Macaca fascicularis: one gene and its partners. The protein of the gene in region 2 interacts with the protein of the main gene of each other region in a pairwise test. Links are inferred from orthologs where the notes say so. Each region holds a gene or a part of one and is shown on either strand. Other genes may lie near its edges.

The links.
Region 1: the proteins of PEG10 (region 2) and EXOSC5 interact in binary tests that used the Homo sapiens proteins (3 or more experiments, as listed by UniProt). The link is inferred for Macaca fascicularis from reciprocal best matches to the Homo sapiens genes PEG10 and EXOSC5.
Region 3: the proteins of PEG10 (region 2) and retrotransposon Gag-like protein 8C interact in binary tests that used the Homo sapiens proteins (3 or more experiments, as listed by UniProt). The two-hybrid records come from large-scale screens. The link is inferred for Macaca fascicularis from reciprocal best matches to the Homo sapiens genes PEG10 and RTL8C.
Region 4: the proteins of PEG10 (region 2) and LDOC1 interact in binary tests that used the Homo sapiens proteins (3 or more experiments, as listed by UniProt). The two-hybrid records come from large-scale screens. The link is inferred for Macaca fascicularis from reciprocal best matches to the Homo sapiens genes PEG10 and LDOC1.
Region 5: the proteins of PEG10 (region 2) and LNX2 interact in binary tests that used the Homo sapiens proteins (3 or more experiments, as listed by UniProt). The link is inferred for Macaca fascicularis from reciprocal best matches to the Homo sapiens genes PEG10 and LNX2.

Annotation. Positions count from the first base shown.
Region 1 is NC_088393.1:48,537,798-48,542,402, reverse strand, and holds the start of EXOSC5 (exosome complex component RRP46), read left to right. Parts: upstream 1-1,619; 5' UTR 1,620-1,684; coding exon 1,685-1,832; intron 1,833-4,605. Other genes in the region: BCKDHA (2-oxoisovalerate dehydrogenase subunit alpha, mitochondrial), read right to left, coding at 1,080-1,187. UniProt on the Homo sapiens protein: Non-catalytic component of the RNA exosome complex which has 3'->5' exoribonuclease activity and participates in a multitude of cellular RNA processing and degradation events.
Region 2 is NC_088377.1:126,682,624-126,686,772, forward strand, and holds part of PEG10 (retrotransposon-derived protein PEG10), read right to left. Parts: intron 3,503-4,149; coding exon 2,302-3,502; coding exon of another isoform or gene 1,154-2,301; 3' UTR 1-1,153.
Region 3 is NC_088395.1:141,360,861-141,364,398, reverse strand, and holds retrotransposon Gag-like protein 8C, read right to left. Parts: upstream 2,187-3,538; 5' UTR 2,158-2,186; coding exon 1,816-2,157; coding exon of another isoform or gene 1,214-1,815; 3' UTR 998-1,213; downstream 1-997. Other genes in the region: CAAX box protein 1, read right to left, coding at 1,214-1,840.
Region 4 is NC_088395.1:147,494,543-147,499,484, forward strand, and holds the start of LDOC1 (protein LDOC1), read left to right. Parts: upstream 1-1,833; 5' UTR 1,834-1,942; coding exon 1,943-2,383; 3' UTR 2,384-4,942. UniProt on the Homo sapiens protein: May have an important role in the development and/or progression of some cancers.
Region 5 is NC_088391.1:7,534,442-7,538,590, forward strand, and holds part of LNX2 (ligand of Numb protein X 2), read right to left. Parts: coding exon 4,025-4,149; intron 268-4,024; coding exon 90-267; intron 1-89.

The DNA of each region.
Region 1 (4,605 bases), on a different chromosome or scaffold from region 2:
GAGAGGCTTCCACCCAGGTTTTTTGCAGTGTAATTTTGACAGCATCCACCTGAAGGGATTGTGACCCTTTTGACAAGAAACAAAGCCTTCTCAAGTGTTTCTAAGAAATGTGGGCAAAGTGCCCTATCTGTACCTCTGTCCCTCCGTTTTTCCCCTCATTAACTCAACAAATATTAATCATCTCCTCTGTACAGTGTCCAGAACACACGAGTTCCCTGTCTTGATATTCGATCAGGAGACACAGGAACCAAACAAAATTTTTACACAATTCATTTTAAAATCAGAATTGTGGCAAAGGAGCAAAGAAATACAAGGCCCTATGCAGCCTGCGATAAGGGGACTTGCTCTCTTCTTTCTTCTTCTTGAAGAGGGATCTTTGCCCAGAAGAAAGTCTCTCCTTTATAAAGTCAGTTTCATTCTCCAAAGCCTGAGGGAAAAGGTCTCGCGGTCTTCCCCTGTCCCTCCAAGGAACCTCCCCTGAATACGAGTGGCAGTTAATAAGGAACCCCCGGCCGGGCGCGCTGGCTCACGCCTGTAATTCCAGCACTTTGGGAGGCCGAGGTGGGCGGATCACGAGGTCAGGAGATCGAGACCATCCTGGCTAACACAGTGAAACCCCGTCTCTACTAAAAATGCAAAAAAAAAAAAAAAAATTAGCCGGGGGTGGCGGCGGGCGCCTGTAGTCCCAGCTACTCGGGAGGCTGAGGCAGGAGAACGGCGTGAATCCGGGAGGCAGAGCTTGCAGTGAGCTGAGATCCGGCCACTGCACTCCAGACTCCGCCTCAAAAACTAACTAAATAAATAAATAAGGAACTCCCATCCCTCTCTTCAAGTCGTCTCCCTCCCTCAGGGCCCACAAAGAAGTTGCAAACGGGTTTTGTCCTCTCCTGAAGAAGTGGAAGTTCTTTTCTTCTAAGGAAGTGGCAGATCTTCCCTTCGGTGTCTTCTCCAAGGGGTCTCCCACTTTTTCCCTTCTGTGACAGCCCTTCCTTCATATCCTTCAGGGACCCCACACTCTGAAGATAGCCTTTACATCCCTAATCCCCTTTGGGAAAACCCCCTGGGGCCCAGGTACTCACAGATCTAGCCAATCCCCGAGCCCCAGGCCGCCACAGCAGCAAGAGGGCAGCCTGGCTCAGGCCTCGGTTTGGCCGCCAGACCCTCGCTGCAGCGATCGCTACCGCCATCTTGGCTAGCAACCACTCAGCGGTAGGGCACTCACGTAGGCTAGATTCGGGGCTGCCCCTTTATGTGCCTGACACAAACTCCAGCACCATCTGACAAGAAAATCACCTTCTTCCCATTCTGTTGTAGATAGAATGCACAGAGATTTGGAGAAGAAAACCTATCTACCCAAAATTTTCCCCAGTCGCCTCATTGTAGTTACTCCTGTAACAGGCAAAGAAGAGGGCAACCTGACCACGGCCTCAGGGATTTAGGGCCCGGGGGCCCAGAGTAAAACAGGTCACTGCCAAGGCCTGCCTCCTGTTCTCAACTGTCCAATGGCGTTGCCAGAGTTAGGAGGTGGGACTGGGCGGAGCCAGATTGTTGGTAAACGCTAAGCCACGTGCGGACGCCAGGACTGACGGCCGAGCCCAGCGCGTGCGCAATGGTTACGCAGAGTGTTCGCAGCGCGCGCTGCCGGGCGGAAGTGATAATCGCAGCCGCACGTGGGGTCGGCGCGATGGAGGAGGAGATGCATACTGACGCCAAAATCCGCGCTGAAATTGGAACAGGGTGCAGCCCTCGGGGTCCCGGCTGCAGCCTCCGGCACTTTGCCTGCGAACAGAACCTGCTGTCGCGGCCAGATGGCTCTGCTTCCTTCCTGCAAGGTAAGAACTTACCCAGGTCTTTTGGAGAGGGACTACCATGTACCGTGCAACGGAGTGCCCATCTCCCCATGATACCAGCTGGTAAATGTCACTCCTGCGTTGATACATGATTTCTTGTCCGATTGAATACTACTACATACGCAGGGATACATACATCTCTCCCTCACGACTAGAAAGGAGAAGATAGCTCCATCTTTGTAAATATGTCTGAGAATGACAGGCGGGGCAGACCGTCCCCGCAAGAATTGATATTTCAGAATAGGGAAAATCACCTCACCAGGGTAAATATCGCCCTTAACTAGGTTCCTCCTCCTCACCCCCGCCCCCGCCCGCCCCACACACACGCCCGCTAGGTCCTTGCATCCCGGACTGACGCAAACCTGTCAATTTGCATACTCTGGACTGTGGCGGATCTTTCACCCACGTAAATACTCCTCAAATTGAAGATAATGTCACTGCCCTGGGTTGAAAAATACATCCCCACCGCTACCTCACTGCATCTCTCCACAGGAGTAAATATCCCTAAGATTAGGGCAAGTCTTACCTATAGGGCAAATATCCCCTTCCCCTAGCTAAATAACTCTCAGAACCAGATTAACTCCAAGAATATTTCTCTTTAACGTTTGAGACAGGAGGCTGGGCACAGTGGCTCACGCCTGTAATCCCCACACTTTGGGAGGCCAAGGCGGGTGGATCACCTGAGGTCAGGAGTTCGAGACCAGCCTGGCCAACATGGCGAAACCCCGACTCTACTAAAAGTACAAAAATTAGCCAGGCATGGTGGTGGGCGCCTGTAATCCCAGCTACTGGGGAGGCTGAGGCAGGAGAATCTCTTGAACCCAGGAGGCAGAAGTTGCAGTGAGCCAAGATTGTGCCATTGTACTCCAGTGTGCACGACAAAACAAGATTCTGTCTCAAAAAAAAAAAAAAAAATTTTGAGACAGGGTCTCACGATGTTGCCCAGGTTGGTCTTGAACTCCTGGACTCAAGCAGTCCTCCTCCCAAAGTGCTCATATAGGTACCAGCCACCACGCCCAGCCCCAATACATTTTAACAAAATCTGGCTGCTGTGTTGATTGTGGGGAGTATGGGGGAAAACAGGGAGGTGATGGTGGCTCCAGCCAGAACAGGAGTAGTGGAGGTGATGAGATTCTGGATGTAGTTTGAAAGTAAAACGGACAAAACTTACCTATAGTTTGGTTTGAGTGCGAGGAAAAAGAGTCAGGCATAACTAAGGTTTCTGCCCAGATCTGTACAAGTCTGGAAATCAGGAGAGAGACCCAAGCTGGACATAGGCAATTTGGAACTCTCTGGCTGTATATATGGTATTTCAGCCTATTGACTGAACGAAGTCAGTGTAGATGGAAAAGAGGTCCCAGGACCAAGCCCTAGGCCTTCCAACTTGAGCAGTCAGGGACTTGTGACAAGCAAGCTAAAGGAGACTCAGAAGGAACGCCCAGAGACTTAGGGGGAAACCGGGAGAGGGTGGTGACCTGGGGCCAAGAGAAGAGCGTGTCTGAGATGTGAGGGCTGACAGCTGTTTCGGCCTTACTGACAGCCGGGTCAATGGAGGGTTGATCATTTGGAGGTCAGTGGTGACGATGTTGAGCTGCCGCAGTGGAGTGGTGGGGTCACAGGAAAGGAAGAATAGACAGCTGTTCAGGAGTTTTGCTGTAAGAGGATCAGATAAGTGGGGCAGGAATTGAAGATGGTTGTGGGGTCAACAGGGGAGAGAATTGCTGGAGCCACGTCTTGAAGAAGGTGAGAGGGGAGGGACTCTTGTGCTCAGGTGAAACACAGGCAGTTCATCTGGAGCCAGAGGCGAGTTCTATTTTGGTTTCTCCAGTCCTCAGGGCAGTTTTTCCTGGAACTAAGCACACCTTCCGTGTAAGGGCAAATTGGGCATCCCAGGAAATACCGCCTTAACCAGGGACCTTCCCGGACCCTCCCTCAGGCTTAGCACTTATGCTGAATTGAGATACCTCAAGTTTCTTCGAACCTAAGAATTAAGAAGGGGCCGGGCGCAGTTGCTCACATGGGTTGCTCACACCGGTAATCCAAGCACCTTGGGAGGCCGATGAGGGTAGATCACCTGAGGTCAGTAATTCTTTTTTTTTTTTTGACACAGAGTCTCGCCCTGTCACCCAGGCTAGAGTGCAGTGAAGCGATCGTGGCTCACTGCAACCTCCACCTCCCAGGTTCCAGCGATTCTTCTGCCTCAGCCTCCCGAGTAGCCAGGACCACAGGCGTGTGCTCCCACGCCCAGCTAATTTTTGTAGTTTTTAGTAGAGACGGGGTTTCACCATGTTGGCCAGACTGATCTTGAACTCCTGACCTCGTGATCCACCCGCCTCGGCCTCCCAAATTGCTGGGATTACAGGCGTGAGCCACCTCGCCCAGTCGAGGTCAGGAGTTCTGAGACCAGCCTAGCCAACATGGTGAAAACCCGTCTCTACTAAAAATACAAAAATTAGTCGGACGAGGTGGCACGCACCTATAATCTCAGCTACTCTGGAGGCTGAGGCACGAGAATCACTTGAGCCTGGGAGGCGGAGGTTGCAGTGAGCTGAGATTGCACAACTGCACTCCAGCCTCCTGGGTGACAGAGGGAAACTTTGTCTCAAAAAAGAAAATAGAGACAGGAGTCTTGCTATGTTGCTCAGGCAGGTCTCAAACTCCTGGCCTCGAGCAGTCCTCCCACCTGGGCCTCCAGAGTGCTGGGATTACAGGTGTGAGGCACCATGTCTGGCCTCAAATGTTTTGGTTTTTTTTT
Region 2 (4,149 bases):
CTAAATCATTTCTCTTCTCTCCACACATCCTAACACGCTACAGTCTAATGAGGGGACTGAAGATGGAATGCCCAGATGCGTATGGAGACAGACACATGGATAGAGGCTTCTAAAACGTCAGCTGGTGCTTTTCCAGCCAATTAACAACACTCATGAAAATTCTTTCTGAAGTACCAGGACAAATCTTTTAAGAGTTGGGTACGGGATTTTGGAGTCCTTTTGATCTGCTATTCTTTAGCCCTCGAAGGTAATTGAGATGTGGTCACATTTCATGAACATCTAACACCCCTGGAGCCACCAGTAATCTCTGGTTACCAGGTTTAATGCTTCGTGGACGCCATTATGGCATGATGATGGTAAGGTGTTATGTCAAAGCCGGAGTCCTGGGTACATGTGATTTGCACCACGATGTGAAGGCACACTCTTAACATGCAAGAGTCCATCTGAGAGAGCACTTTCTTTTCAAGCCTGAGATGTTTCATGTTACAAGGGTTTTGCCTGCTCCTGGGAGAACCAGTCAAGTTGCTGCTCCTTGAGAATTAACAGAACCACAGAAATGGAGTTTGAAGACGGTGAAGTTTCTAAGGGTGCAGCGAGAGGATCACGGAAGCCTTTCCATACTGCACCGATAATTTTGGCTTCCTTAATAAGGCCTCGGTCCTCCAGTGATTTAAAGAGGGTACCGAAACTGCAAGAAAAGTCATGTCCTCCTCCTCCTCTTTGTCTCCCCCTCCATAAAGAAATCAGCATTTCCTGCATTTGTATCAGCTTCTCTGTAAATGTTAAAGAACAAATTTGGCAGCCTATAATTTAGATGGTGACAGAGGTTTTGGCAGGTAAAACCCAGACTTCCAGGACTGGCTGGAAAGTAAACTTACTAATTATTTTAGTTAGATTGGCAGTCAAGGTGGAAAAATGAGAGCTAATTTATTGGCAAATACTCTGTTGCTCTCAGAAAATGTTGAAGGTCTTTTGGTGCTTTAGGATGTGTGCCAGTCCAGGGTGGCCCTGACCTTCTACAGCCGTTTCAGAGAGGATGTGCCTCAGGTGGCCTGAAGATACAGTAGCCTAAAACTTAGCACACAGTCACTGATTGAGAAGCTGAACAGGAATAAATTTTGAGGGCAGAGATCCTGAAGGACATGACAAGTATTTACAGGGTACTGTAAGATGGAGGCGGCGGCGGCGGCGGTGGTGGAGGCGGCGGCTGTGGCGGCGGGTACTGTGGTACCGGAGGCTGGCGGTACCAGTGTGGATTCCAAGTGATCATAACAGGTACATATAGTGATCTTCCTTGTCCGTCTCTTCCCACTGGGTACCAGGCGAATCCTACTGGGTAGGTCGGGTATGCGGCATATGTGGGGTACGTTTGGTATCCAGGTATTTGAGGTACGAATTCAGTGTACGTTGCCAGGTGCGCTTGGTCTTCTAAATTTGGAATAGATAGGCGAGGATACTGATTCTGGATAGTAAAATTGTTTGGAGCTCGGCAATCGTAAGAAACTTGCAGTTTCCACCCCCTCTTCACCTGGAGAACTTGGGCTCCATTAGGTGCGATCGTTGGAGTAATCAGCCCATCTTTCACATTTCTTGCCACAAAATCTCGAAGAGCTGCCATTTCAGGTTCAGACAGTGAGTACACATGTCCGCTGGGAATACTGTGTGCTCCAGGTATCATTTCTATGTGAGGGTCAACCAGGCGGTGATCTGGGTAGACGTGCTCATCTACTGGAGTGTACACATTCTGGACATAGTAATATCTCACTGGTTGGTAAACTCTGTATCCATCTACTGGATAATAGAGTGGCGGTTGTTGTGCTGGCGGTGGGAGCGATGGTGGTATTGGAGAATACATCCGGCAGTGGTAGCGGCAGTATTCAGAATCAAAGACAATAGATCGAGTGCTCCATGTGATGTTGGGATCATGTGTGCTCAGCCAGCGAACCCCTAGGACGACAGGGAAGAATGGAGACTGAGTCACATCAAATGACAGCACTTCACGGTGATCTCCCAGGTCAACTATCAGGTCGTGAGTTTCGTGGACAACTGGGCCCGATGCTATGGGGCGCCCATCAATTGCTTCCACAAGTATTGGCCAGTCCTTGATTCTTAGAGGAATTCCATTTTGAGCAACGTATTCGTGATCAATGAAGTTGCCAGAAGCACCAGAATCGATCATGGCTCGGACGAACAGGGTGTGTCTGCCCGGAAGATGAATCTGGAGCATCACTTGCAAGTGTGGAGATGAGGCGTCATCTTGTGGGGACCTTATTATTTCTGGCCCGGTCGCTGAAGGTCCCTCTACAGCGGGGCCGGGGAGTTTCCCGCCGGCGAAGACTTCGAGGCCTTGGCAGGACAGTTGTCAGCGTAGTGACCTCCTGTTCCACAGTAGAGGCACAGGTTCAGCTTTCTGCGTCTTTCTTTTTCCTCCTGGGTCAGGCGCATGCGGGCACCTCCCACCGGCTCGGTTGGATCTACCTGGTGGTGGCTTGCAACGTGAGGCAACACCAGCGCCCGGGGTGGTGAGCGTGGCTTGCGAGCTGCAGCAGCCCTGGCCAGCCTTCTCTCAATGTGAATGCACTGCCCAATCAGAGCAGACAGCGACTTGGCGACCTCGAGGTGGGAGAGCTCCTCCTGAATGTGGTCGCTGAGGCCCTCGTGGTACTGGTCAATCAGCGCAGGCTCGTTCCAATCCAGGTCCTGGGCAATCATCTGGAAAGCATTGGAATAGTCGATGACAGACCCCATGCCTTGGCGCAGGCGTCTGATCTTGCGTTTGGCAGCCTCTCGCCTCTGAGGGTCTTCAAAGACATGCTTCATTTCCATCATGAAAGCTGGGTAGTTGTGCATCAGGTAGTGGGAGCGCTCCAGCTTTGCTGAGGCCCAGCGGGCAGCACGGCCGGTCATCATGCTTGTCACGAAACAGACACGGACACGATCAACTGAGAAATCTCTGGTGCTCTTTTCCATGAAGATCTGGCACTGGGCCATGAAAGGAGCCAGCATGTCTGGGTTGCCATCGAACTTCTCTGGAAGGTCTTCTGGGCACTCTTCCTCTATTGGAGGGGGTGGGGCAGCAGCTGCTGCAGCACCGCGGAGCTCGATGTCATCATCATCATCCTCAGGGGTGGGTTCCACTTGCTCTCGAAGGGTGGTGTTCTCCTCTGTGAGCTTCTGCACCTGGTTCTGCAGGTTGCTGTTCTCCTCGGACTGCTTAATGACCTTCTCTCTTAGGTTGTTGATCTCTTCAGAGAGCTCATCCCTTCTTCGTTCGGTCATGTTGGGGACACACGCGCTCTTATGGCCGGTGTGCTTGGAGTTGTTGTTGTTGTTGTTGTTGGGGGGAGGGGGAGGGGGAGGAGGTGGGCAGTCGGGACCCAGGGTGACGGTTGGGGTGGGAGGAGACCTCCCAGCTGTAGCTTCACTTCTGTGGGGATGGAGGCCTGGATCCTGGCCCCCTCTTCCACTCCTTCTTTTTTTTGTTTTCAAAATCCGCTTATTTCTGTAAATAAAGATAAATGTATAAATCCAACTTATAGATTCAAAGCAGCAAAATGCAGACACAAAGGATTTAGTGTTTAAATTATCCCTTGCTCTATGCACTTACTTTAATAATTAGCGAACAAAGAAAACAAACTTTCAAGAGAAAAGTATCAATCAGTACCATAGATAACAAAAAGGAAACTACTTTTTGATGTTCAAATGACCTTGTCTTCCTCAAAGGCCACCTGTTCATTATGATTCAACAATACATCATCAACAGCATGCTTACCTTTATAAACTATAAAAGAATGTTGAAACCCTCTAAACAAGTAGTTTTGTATTGAAACAGAGGAAGAAACTTCAAGGCAAACATAGATACCAAATCAATTATGCAAATTAAAGCCAAAATAATAACTTTTCTTACTAAAGAAGCTAGGCCAAAAATAGTTAATACTACAACTAATAGAAGCTAATTAAAAAAGAGGGGAGTATTAAAATCACAATGCATGTATTCATCAGCCCTGTGGGTGGGAGGAGGGTACTGTGGCCAACTGTCACAACCCTGTTTCACTGCCACAGAGAAGGTCACTGGTTATCAAATCAAACAACCACCACCACAAAAACTACAGGACTGCCTAAATTACTTTTCTGACCATAATTTAAATC
Region 3 (3,538 bases), on a different chromosome or scaffold from region 2:
GCTCATGCCTGTAATCTCGGCACTTTGGGAGGCCAAGGCTGGGTTATCATGAAGCCAGAAGACTGAGACCATCCTGGCCAACATGGTGAAACCCTATCTCTACTAAAAATACAAAAATTAGCCAGGTGTGGTGGCACGTGCCTGTAGTCCCAGCTACTCAGGAGGCTGAGGCAGAAGAATTGCTTGAACCCAGGAGGCAGAGGTTGCAGTGAGCTGAGATCATGCCACGGCACTCCAGCCTGGGCGACAGAGCAAGACTCCATCTCAACAACAACAACAAAAAAGGCAGAGAGTTGTTGACTGAGTGCTGCCCTACAAGCCCACCTTAGGATAATCTGCTTCTGTTGGGATATTGAGCTTTTCCCAGAGATAGATGGGGTGGCAGAGGCATGTTAGCACAGTAGATTTCAAAGATTCGCATGCAGAGATACGTTGAAGAGAATTTTTTTTTTTTCTGCCCATTAGGGAAGGTGGTAATTGTATTGTGTTTCAGGTCATTCATTAAACAAGTTTGTACCTAAATTAACTACAGTTCTGCATTCCTTTCTCCACCACCTACCCAATTAAAGCAATATAAATGTAAATGCTTTTTCTGAAGTATCTAAGCCATTTTGCTGGTTCCCTGATAATGCATTAAATAAAACTGTAAGAATTGTTCACCAACAAATGTGTGAGATGCATGGCTTGTAACCATTTGGGGTATATGCTTTCAGACAGTTTTTTGGAAAAGAGGGAAGAAAAAGCACCCTATCTGACTATTCCTTATCTTATCTTGGCCACAGTCAGATTAAGGTTCATTTCCTAAGGGGCACAAAACTTGACTTGTTTACAACATTAATCGTCTGGGATTAGTCACCGGTGGGATCTCCATTTGCAGGACACCACAGGACTCTGTGTCAACATCAACCATAGCGTGGCAGGACATATAGTTTTTGAACAAGATATGGACCCCATTTACAGAACCAGGGAGGGAAAAGTGCCATATTGACTGAGACCATTTCTTTTCAATAATGTCTGACATTTATTGAAAATAAGGAAAAGACTTTCTCCAGGTAGTGTATTAGAGCAGAGCAGAATGCAGGGGTTACTGTGTTGAACAAAAGGCACACATCAGAGAGACAGTTGCAAACTCAGAAAACTGGGTTATAGGCAAAACTAACTGGTCCACAAGAGAAAATGAGAGACTCGATTTGGCTGCCAGGCACACCTGGGTCTAGGCTGGAACACAAGAGGTTTCTGGGGGTGGGGAGGAAATAGGTCTCGCTGAAGGTGACAGATCCCTTGGGGGGCCAGCTGTCTGGATCACTGTCCAAGGACTGTGGCCAGCCCAGATACCTCCGAGGTGAGTCCAGATCACTAGGAGCAGCAGTCTGTCAGTGGGATGCGATGGATGGCGATGGCAGTGGCAGCGCAGGTCTGTGGGCAGAATGATGTAGTCGTCTGGCAGTCTGGTGGGGAGGAGGGGGCTTGGCAGCGGCGGCAGTGGGTGGTCTGTCCAGTGTGTAACAGGAGCCCAGCTTGCAGCTGGAGCGCAGGACAGCGTCCAAATGTGCATGGGAGGGGCTGGCTGGCTGGAAGGAGAGGGCGGCGGCTCGCTCCAGAGTGAGGCCCAGGGGCGGCAGCAGGAGCCTGGAACGCTATTCCTGGAACAAAGGCAAGCACTACGCGGGAGGGGACAGGAGCTCAGGGGACATCGCGGCGGCTCGAGGGGGAGGGAGGTGCGGAGGGAGGGCGCCTGTGGCGACCCTGGCGGCGGCCAGTAGCACAGCGGACCCTCCCCAGAGCACCCGCCCCCAGGCTCGAGGGTCTCCCGGCCTAAAAGTCCTCGTCCTCCTCCCATCCAAAGACCCGCTTCATCTCGGCCAGGAAGCCCCGGTAATCATTGAGGAGGGGGCTCTCCTTCTTGATGTAGGGGATCACCCACTGCAGGGCGGGCCCCGTGAGGCGGGTGATGAGGAACGTCACCTTCAGGGCGTCGCTGGAGAATGTGTTCTCGTCCACGAACATGTAGGAGCCCGTCTGCACGATGAACTCCGGGAGCCGGTCGGTATCGCCATCAAACGTCTCGGGAAAGGGAATCGGGTTCCTCCAGCGACGCGTCGCAGGTCGGATCGGCAAGGCCAGGAGGGCCTTTATCAGCTGCACCCGACCGTCCATCGCTGCTCTTCGCTTCGCTGGACGTCAATGGGCTCCACCCGGCTCTGCAGAGGTCAGTACCGAGGCGTCGCCGGAAATGCGTGTCCACGAAGGCCTGCCCAAGCTAGGGTGGGCGGGGCCACGAGCGGGGCTCCAGCCCTCTCATGGACTCCGCCCACAAGGCCGGGTGTTCCCTAGTACGCAGGCGCGTCGTGGGGAACACACTTGCGAAGAAGGGCCTAAAGCCCTCAAGGAGGCAGGGTCCTATCGGAGAGGCTGGGCTGAGGGTTCCTAAGGTGGCGGGACGGGGAGCAGGGGAGGAACCAGGGAGACCTGGTGGTGTACGGGGCGCGAGGAGCTCGCTCCAAGGGTATGTTAGGGGCCCTACCTAGTTCTGGTAGTTGAGGAGTCCTCCCGCTGCACTGGTCCCCACCTCTCATCAGCCCTTGGGTATGCATTCGGGGAGCCTTGACCCTGGACGCCACTAGTATGAGGTTCTGTGAACACATTTTCCTGCTCCTTCTTGCGTCTCTCAACCAGATTATTGGCTCCCTACTTTGCAACATTAATAGAGAAGCCCCACATATTAGCAAATATAATCCAGAGCAGCATGTTCAAAGAGTAATGCACCACGCTTGAGGGATGGATACTCCATTCTCCATGATGTGATTATTAGGACCTAGTATTTGATAGCACAACAGGATGACTACAGTCAAAATAATTTAATTGTACATTTAAAAATAACTGAAAGAGTGTAATTGGATTGTTTGTAGCACAAAGGATAAGTGCTTGAGGGGATGGATGCCCCATTTACCATTATGTGATTATTATGCATTGTATACCTATATTAAAGCATTTCACGTACCCCATAAATACATATACCTATCATGTACCCACAAAAATTAGAAAATAAATTTTTAAAAAGAATAATATACCACAAGCAGTTAATGTAAGGAGAGTTAAATATTAAGAAATCTCTTAATTTGTTATAAAAGCTGCCCTCAGTTCTCTGTCACGTTGCCCTGTCTCTAGGCAGTTCACTACACTGCAGCTTGTTTCTTCATGGAACAAAGGGAGAATGTTTCTCCTTGAAAGATGGAGTCATGTATAAACTAACATAATCATGGGAGTTCATCACCTTTGCCACATTCTCTTGGTTAGAAGCAAGCCATAGTCCCCACCTACACTGAAAGGTATGACCAGGATATTGGGATGTTGGGGGCCACCTTAGAATCTGTCTGCCATAGCATGGATATACAAATTTGGTGATCCATTCATTTGTTGGAAGATATTTGGCACATTTACAGGTTTTGGAAATTACAAATGAATCAGCTATAAGCATTTACGTACAGATTTTTGTGTGAGCACAGATTTTCATTTTTCTAGAGCAAATTCCTAGAGC
Region 4 (4,942 bases), on a different chromosome or scaffold from region 2:
CAAAAGCAGTGTTTCTTTGACTTATATATTCTAAAATGGAAGCAGATGATGAGCAAAGTCCTATATACACATATGACATGGTGGCTAGTAGCACAATAAATGTTATGTAGATAAATGAAGCAGAGTAAAGGGTTACAGATTGGTGGCAGAGAACAGGGTGCTCTGATAGGTCCAGTGGTCAGAAAAGTTCTCTCTGAAAGCAGTAGGAGGAGTCAGGCAGCCAACTGGGATGACATCCTTGCAAAGGAGAAGGGATAGAAGGTGCAAAGGCTATGAAGCCAGAACTGCTTGATGGGTGTGAGAATCAGCAAGGAAGACAGTGATGAGAGCACAGCAGAAAATGGGAAGAGGCACAGGATAGAAGGAGGGGCCTTGTAGGCCTTGGCTGCAACTTTGCTCTTTATTCTGAGGTGAAACTACTGGAGGATTTTGAGCAGGGGCGTGAAGGGATCTAACTGTTTTTGTTTGTTTGTTTGTTTGTTTTTGTTTTTTTTTTTTAGAGATGGAGTCTCGCTTGGTAACCAAGGCTGGAGGAGTGCGCTGGCGCTATCTCGGCTCACTGCCACCTCCGCCTCCCGGGTTCAAGCGATTCTCCTGCCTTAGCCTCCTGAGTAGCTGGAACTACAGGCACCTGCCACCACTCCCCGCTAATATTTTGTATTTTTAGTAGAGACAGGGTTTCACCCTGTTAGCCAGGATGATCTCGATCTCCTGACTCGTGATCCGCCCTCCTTGGCCACCCAAAGTGCTAGGATTACAGGCGTGAGCCACCGCGCCCGGCCCTAATTTTTGTTTTAAAGGATTCCTGTGGCTACTCTATGGAGAATATACTATAGGAAGAAAAGAGTGAAAGCTAAGTGATTAGTTGCAGCAGTCTGGGTGAGAAAGGCTGGGGATCAGGGTGGCAGTGGTAGAAATGACAAGTCATGACTGAATTGGCAATATATTTGAAAGCAGAGCCAACAATTCCTGTCGGCTCTAGGATCAGGGATCCGTTTAAAGTAGAAAAACAAAATTATTTAAAAACACAAACATCTTAACAGTTCATTTTTAAGTACAGAATAAAACCCAGTGGCCAAAGGCACTAACAGCAGGACAAGAAATAGAGAATCAAAGATATGTGGGATGCCTGCAATTGATTATTGGATGCTCATTTTGCAAAACTTCTTTATATCCTGCTACTTAGGTTTGTTTTTTTTTGTTTGTTTGTTTTAAGGGAGTATGCCGTATTATTCCCCTACTAAAGAAGTCACTGTTTAAATACTGCCTTTTTCATGAAAGGCAGGAACCCCTGAAGGTCTTCATGATCCTAAAAGGAAGTGTGAGTCCCACAGTGCAGCCAGCAGTGTCAATACTTCTCTGAGTGAGATTTAAACAAGAAAGAAAATGTGTTAATAAAACATCACGCCAAGAGAATCTAGTGGCCACAGACCCACGAAGGAACAACTGAGTTGTGAGAGTTGCCTAGGTAGAAGGGTGGCTAATCCTTTCAGTTTGAACAAATTTGCCTTCTCTGAGACCAAACTCAGCGCTCGCCAGGTCCTCTGCTAACGCAGGCCCCACAACCAGGAGCTAGGGGAGCCTACCCCAGCCTTTAACTGCCCGCCTAGAGACCTACCACAAGCCGGTGGTTCAGCGACCCAGTGCATCCTTTTCCTGGCCACGCCCTCTTTGTCTAAACCCTTCCCATCCCGGCCACGCCCCCACGCAGCCGCGGCCCCCAGTCTGGCCACGCCCCTCCCGCGCCGCGCCGGCGCACCATCCGTCCGAATGGCCTCGTGGGCGGAGCTTGCGTAGCCTCCCGGACCCCGGCGCGCACCGCCCCCCGCCCCCAGCCCCTGGCCATCGAGCGTCTCCGTGGACACGCACTTCCTGCGAGGCCTCCGTGCGCACCTTGGCCGAGCCGAACCGAGCCGAGCCCTGTCCTTCCAGGCTGTTCGCAATGGTGGATGAGCTGGTGCTGCTGCTGCACGCGCTCCTGATGCGGCACCGCGCCCTGACCATCGAGAACAGCCAGCTCATGGAACAGCTGCGGCTGCTGGTGTGCGAGAGGGCCAGCCTGCTGCGCCAGGTACGTCCGCCGAGCTGCCCGGTGCCCTTCCCCGAAACGTTTAATGGCGAGAGCTCCCGGCTCCCCGAGTTTATCGTGCAGACAGCGTCTTACATGCTCGTGAACGAGAACCGATTCTGCAACGACGCCATGAAGGTGGCATTCCTAATCAGTCTCCTCACCGGGGAAGCCGAGGAGTGGGTGGTGCCCTACATCGAGATGGATAGCCCCATCCTAGGTGATTACCGAGCCTTCCTCGATGAGATGAAACAGTGCTTTGGCTGGGATGACGACGAAGACGACGACGACGAGGACGAAGAGGATAATTACTAGGCCCTCGGGCCTCGGGGGGAGGGCCCTGCACGCCGTCACCCCCTCCCCGCAGCCCTCACCCCGCCAGGAGCCACTGCTCTCCCCCTTGCCCTCCGGTCCCCTTCCCTACCCGCGCCCGTCTGCTCTTTCTTCATTTCTCCGTAGTGCTTGTCTTTGTTCCAGGAATAGTGCTCCAGTTACCTGCTGCTGGGGTTGGGGCTGGAGCCTCACTCACTCGGAAGTGCTTGGAAGTGTCATCTACCCTGGCCATCCCGGGGATCCCTCCCCTGCTAATCTGAACTGTGTCCTGAACCCCAGCTATTGGCCAGGCCCCTGTTACAAACTGCGCAGACCACCCATAGCCCTGCTGCTGCCACCTGCCCTGCTGCCAGGCTTACATCTGCCCAGAGAACTATGCTGCCACTTCACATCCACTCACCACATCCCACCTACAGACTACCGCCTTTCGAGATCAGGACCAACCTGGAAAATGCCAGAGTTGGCTCTGCCTCTTCGGACATTGATTTGGACAGCTCACCAACCCCTGAAGAGGCCAATCATTCAGCCTGGTTAGTTTTCTACCTACTCCGAGTGTCCTCCCCTGCCATACCAGATTGCTGCAGGGGCGCGGTGTGCCTGACAGCCAAATTGTTGATATTTCTTTTTTCCTATGCACTGGTTTTACACAGCTGTCATTTTTCTTTCAAAATTGCAGCAGTCCCACAGATGTATGCATTTGGACAAATAGTACTAAAAACAAAACAAACAAGCACTCAGCCCAGCTCCTCAATACTACCTGGAAAAAGCATTGGCATTATTTTCAATAAATATCAAGCACTAAAAAACGAAATGACTGTCTTTTAATAGTTAAGTGCTATCACTGACCTCTAGAACTGTCACTGTGACTACCGTTATTCCCATGGAAATCAGGGAATACAACCAATCCTAGGAATCCCTGCTGTCAACTCCAGGCTGCTGGGGACAGCTACCTCAGGGCTTTGTCAGGGTTCTGATGCTTCCTTCACCAACGCATTTCTTAAAGCCCTGGCAAAGGGTGTGTTCTCTGGGTCCTCCAGGGTGGCATGGGTAAGGGTTGGCTGAGCAGATGGCAAAGAGGGCAGTATTAATAATTAGACCATAACAACAGGCATAAACCAGGACATATATATGTATTGCTCCTAATTCTCTGAGCTTTTGGATTCCTTAATATTGTGCCAGGGAAGTTCTGCCCCTTAATCCTTATTGCCTATATGCAGCTGTTGAGTTCAGGCTCCAGAGAGCCAACATAGTACATTGTCACTTTCAAACTCCAAATAGCCAACATGTCACTTACAGGTGCTCTAGCTAACATTAAGTCCCAGATCCTGGGCAAGTGCATCCATAAAGATATACCCTGATCTTAACAAACATTTCATCCTCCTTGGGCAGACATCCTTAGAATTTCCACTCATAGATGTGTCCCAGATTCCTCCCTATGGAAATTAGCAAGATGCTTGGTTATCTCTTAAATCAGACTTTGTACTGCTATCTGGGGGCTATGCTGAGATCTCTGGGCCTGGAGGGTTCAGAGCAGTGAAGGGGGTGGCTGCTGAGAAGAAACTGCATACCTGTGTGAGGCCATTGCCCCAGGTTAAGTCATTGAAATGTTTAATGCAGAGCAGCTTGGTTGGGGATTTGACAGGACTACCTCTTAGAAAGGTTTAGGAGGATGTGAGGGGTTCAGAGTTCTCATTTATATCTGTCCAGATGTCCTCCCTCATTGTACCATGTCTGGAGCCAACTTCACTTTATAACCTTTAATTAATTTAGATAACACATTTCCTTACTGTTTAAGGCCTTTTGAGGCAAGATATTTCATTTGTACTGGTAAACCTCAGTGTTGATTAAATGAGATATGGGGCTTCATATTAATCACCTGATAGGTGTGGATTATATGAGATCATACCCATGCAGCATTTAGAACTTTCCCTGCTACATGGTGAGCACTCAGTAAACCATGGGCTGTTACTCCTGGGCCTGGGGACAGAATTCTCAGGAAGCAAGTCTCTGGCTCTGAGCGTGGCTTTAGTAGGAAAATGTCAGCGTAAAGAGGAGCAGAGCAGGTTCAGCGATAATGGAAATGAGAGCATGATAAGACCCCATTTACTTTTTGAAGTCTTATATGAAGCAAGAAACAAAGCTGTTTACGTGGTGAACAGGCAAAGTTCAGGGTAGGAATTATATCTCACACCTAGGATAGCTGTTTCTGGAGGGTGGGGACAGGGGTGAGTATGACTTAATAAAAGAGGCCAAGGCTTGGGTGGAAATGAGATCTGGGGCTCTTCGGGGAGCTGCTGCCTCCAAATCTGAATCAAGGAGACACCTGGTTATTTAGAATTCACTGATCACTTCTCCTAGTCTCCTTGGAAAATATACAAAAACCCTTGGAATAGAGAGAGTTTATATTTGAGACATAATATGTGTGAGGCCAGATAATTACACTTTCTTCCTGACTAGAAAGGCCTTGAATTGGGGATAAATGGGGAAAAGTGAGCAAGATCTAAAAGGTAAAGGATCCAGTGAGACTAAAAATCATTTATT
Region 5 (4,149 bases), on a different chromosome or scaffold from region 2:
TAGATACTTTGTAGATGCTCTTTATTTTTTTAAATGTGCATTTAATTCAGAAATAAGATGTGGTAACATTTTTAAAGATCCCATCTTACCTCTCTTTATTCTGCCATCTCGTGCAAGGCAGCCATGGGGCGGCACACTGGTCACAAAGATGGGCAGCTCACCACTCTTACTTCCCCTGCCCCCAGCAACGGTCATGCCAAGGGACTCATGTGGTTCCTTCTTTACAGTAATGTGTTTTTCTTGGCATGTAACACACTGAGTAAGATCCTAAAACACACAAGAAAAAAATCATTGGATAATGAATAAAATATAGTTGAAGTGAAGTTATTACTTCAAACTAAGGTAATAACATACATGGCATTTATACAGTAATTATTTTTTATTCCTTAATTGCAAATGAAAGTAATATACAGTTCTTAATAAGTCTACTGTGGATCAATGTCAAATTTTGGACTATGTTATTTTCATATGACTGTTTATGTACCTGAAAAAACTCAGGACTGCTGAAATCTGGCAGTCAAAGTAAAATAAGCACATCATTTGTATAATTTGTTTGAGCTTCATCTTTGATCAGCTGCACTAAAGTAAATGATGCTTTTGAGTTTTAAGATTCTGAAGACAAATCAATTAATTTTACTTCCATCTTTCTCCCATTTCTTTGAAAGACAAGTTGACAGAGTAGCACGAAAGTACAGATTTTGGCAACTGCCAGAAAAAGGCCATCGACCTATCTCCTGATTCTCACTGACTAGGACTATGAGTGCTCAAATCATGAAGAAGTTGCAAATCTACCTCCAAAATCTTCATGAAAAGCTAAAGGGATACAAAATGACTGAATTTTTGAAAAAGTTAATGACAGGGAAATAAATTCCCAACAAATTAATATTCTTCCATTTTTACTGACATTTGTTACTACTGTTTATTATTGAGATGCTCCTGGAAGAAAAAGAATTTAAAACATCACTTTTCTTTTGAATTAGAACTCAGTAAAAAATAAGATGTACATACGCAATATTAAAATAATAATTAACATTTGGGCTTAGCCTGTGAAAAGCTAATGCCTTTACATGCATTATTTCCTTTAAACTTCACAAAAGTCCTGAAATTATATATTATTATTGACCCCATTTGACAAAAGATGAAACAAACTTAGGGAGGTCATGTAACTTGTCCTGAATCATGTTAATATAGGCAACCGTCCTGGGATTCAAAACTTACGTGTGTTAAAAGTATGTACGATATATATTAATATAAATAGTATTTTGTATATGTCTATATAGTGTGATAGACTACATGTACATATTGTATATATGCACCCACACAAGAACTATCCCATTAAGTGTACAGTGCAAGATAATGTCTCAGAAGGTTTTAACACTTATTAACTGTTAAGAGAATGTTGTAATTAACACCGTTAATATAAAAAATAAAAAATACAAATTATATTTACAGAATTATAACATTTCCTTAAGTCACATTAGTTTAGAGAATTGACATGTATTTAACTGTTAATAACGGCGTTTATCAAATCTCTAAATCAGGGCCTGGAATTCTAGGCCTATCTACCCTTCTCCAGATGTGAAATTATACTCTTGAAATTTTACCAAAGGAGCTATCTGTAATAGCAGCACAGTATTCCCAGAAAATGTTATGACCAAGGAGAAAATTTGTAAACATTTTAAGGCAGTCTCCTATCCAAAGGTATGACATTTTTGTCAGCAGCCTTCAAAATTAGACAAACACAACTTTATTCTGAAGACAACTCAGGTAAACTCAACCTTGAGTATATTTATTTAAGCAGGTTCAGTTCTTACATATTTAAGCAGTTAAGTGTGGGTGTTTTATTACTCTAAGTGTCTGAAATGTATGCAATTTTTACCCAGGAACCAAACCAAACTTCAAAGATTATACTCAGTATGCTTCAAGGAACTTCCTAAAACTACATGAATGTTTATCAAAACAGCTACTGGGAAGCTTTGTAGTAGACTAACATATATACTATATTTTTTTCAGAATGCTTATAATTGTCTGAAAAGATTGTTCTGGTGAATTTGCATGTTTTCTCCCTAGGAGACTTTTACTATGCTGTATCAGGATTTGACATAACAAGCAGAGCATGTTAGTAGTAAATAGCTAAATAAACACATTCCATTTCAAGTGGTTTTTCTAACCAGCCAGGTTTGCAGAGTGCCTAGAACAGATTAAGTTCAGCATCACTATTTAGAACATCGTCATATAAAATTAAAGAGAATCAGAATTAGCCTAGTTATAACAGAAAAATACATGTGCCCAAAACAAACTGAATTAAGGACAGTTTGCTATATGAATACTGGAATTATTAATTACAGTTTTTCAAACTCTCTTAAAACTGTAATATTGTTATATATACCCATATCTCAAATTATAAAATTCAATAACATAAAAGATTCAATTACCAACTTGTACCTCATATTATAGTTTTATATGTACACAAAACTTATAAAACAAGGACTAGGTATATGAAACAATGCCTATTCAAAAATTCCTATTTAAAACAATTACTCCATTTCCACAGTCATTATTTAAAGGCAAATTACAGGTTTCCTTCATACATTTTGAGTTTTGCTCAGAAATGAGAATGAAGTCTGTGATTATAATTTCTTTTAAGTATTAACTAAACCAAAGACCAGTGACAAGTCTGTATAGAACTTAAGCTCAGAAAACCATATAAACCTGGCCGGATGCGGTGGCTCAAGCCTGTAATCCCAGCACTTTGGGAGGCTGAGACGGGTAGATCACAAGGTCAGGAGATCGAGACCATCCTGGCTAACATGGTGAAACCCGTCTCTACTAAAAAATACAAAAAACTAGCCGGGCGTGGTGGCGGGCGCCTGTAGTCCCAGCTACTTGGAGGCTGAGCCAGGAGAATGGCGTAAACCCGGGAGGCAGACCTTGCAGTGAGGTGAGATCCGGCCACTGCACTCCAGCCTGGGTGACAGAGCGAGACTCCGTCTCAAAAAAAAAAAAAAAAAAAAAAAGAAAACCATATAAACCTGATGGGCCAAAAATACTGTCTTTAAGCTATGCTTTCTTAGGGTACCAGAGACGGACTCCAAAGCTAATTACTCACTCAAATGTTGTACTTTCAGGTGACAATAAAAAAGTTTTTGCTTAGTAAAGCAATTTAATTTTACTTAAGGAGAATTACTCTGGTAGCTCACATTTAGCTTTTATTTTCACATAATTGGGTAAGCATCATTCGCATCATTGTTTTAAAACTCCTGGCCCACTGGAAGTTAAGAGTTCAAATGAAGGATCAAATGAAGTAAATTATACCAAGAATGCTAAAGTACCATCCTTTTAGATTTCTGGATTGAAAGTGAGGTAGCATCAAAATTCTCAGCTGACGTAGAATACATTATAAAACCAGGGAAATACTGATTCTGAAGAAACAGTAACAAAGCTTAACATATGGGAATTTTAAAAGATTTAGGGTAATATTCCTCTAAGCTTTAACATAAAAAGAAATATGCTATATATGTACCTATCAAATATGTAAATATGCTATATATGTACCTATCAAAATTCATGATTCATATGTTTAATCTTCACGTATCTAATTCTGGTTCTGTAGGCAACAGGCTCAATTACCAAGTATACATTTATCAATCTTGTCTTCATTATGTTTTTTCAATAACTAACTCTTACATTTAAATAAGCAACCCAAGATAAATTCCACTTTCAAGTAGGATTAAACAAGTAGAAGATTTCATGCTTCTCGTTTATCACCTGGCAAAGGAAACTTCCCCTCCAAGCAACTATCTCTAGTTCTAAGGAACAACGCAGTCACTCTCCAAGGTAGCAAAACATATACATTTCACATTCCAAACAACTATATTTTTCAACAGAATAACAACCCTCATTTGAATCTTTTTTTAAAAAACTACTTTATTGAGGTATGACTGACACACAAAAAACCTTCATTGAAATCTTGCCAGCTTGTAACGATGATCCTTTGATGGTGGCATAAAAAAAAAATCCTCACCTTATGTGAGCTTGGTCTGCTGTAATACGGTGGTGGTGTGTGGTGCTGGCTGCTGCTGCTATGATTTCCTGCTTCTCTAATGGTGTTACCAGCCTGGGGCTTCCCTGGTCTAGCAATTGTTAAAT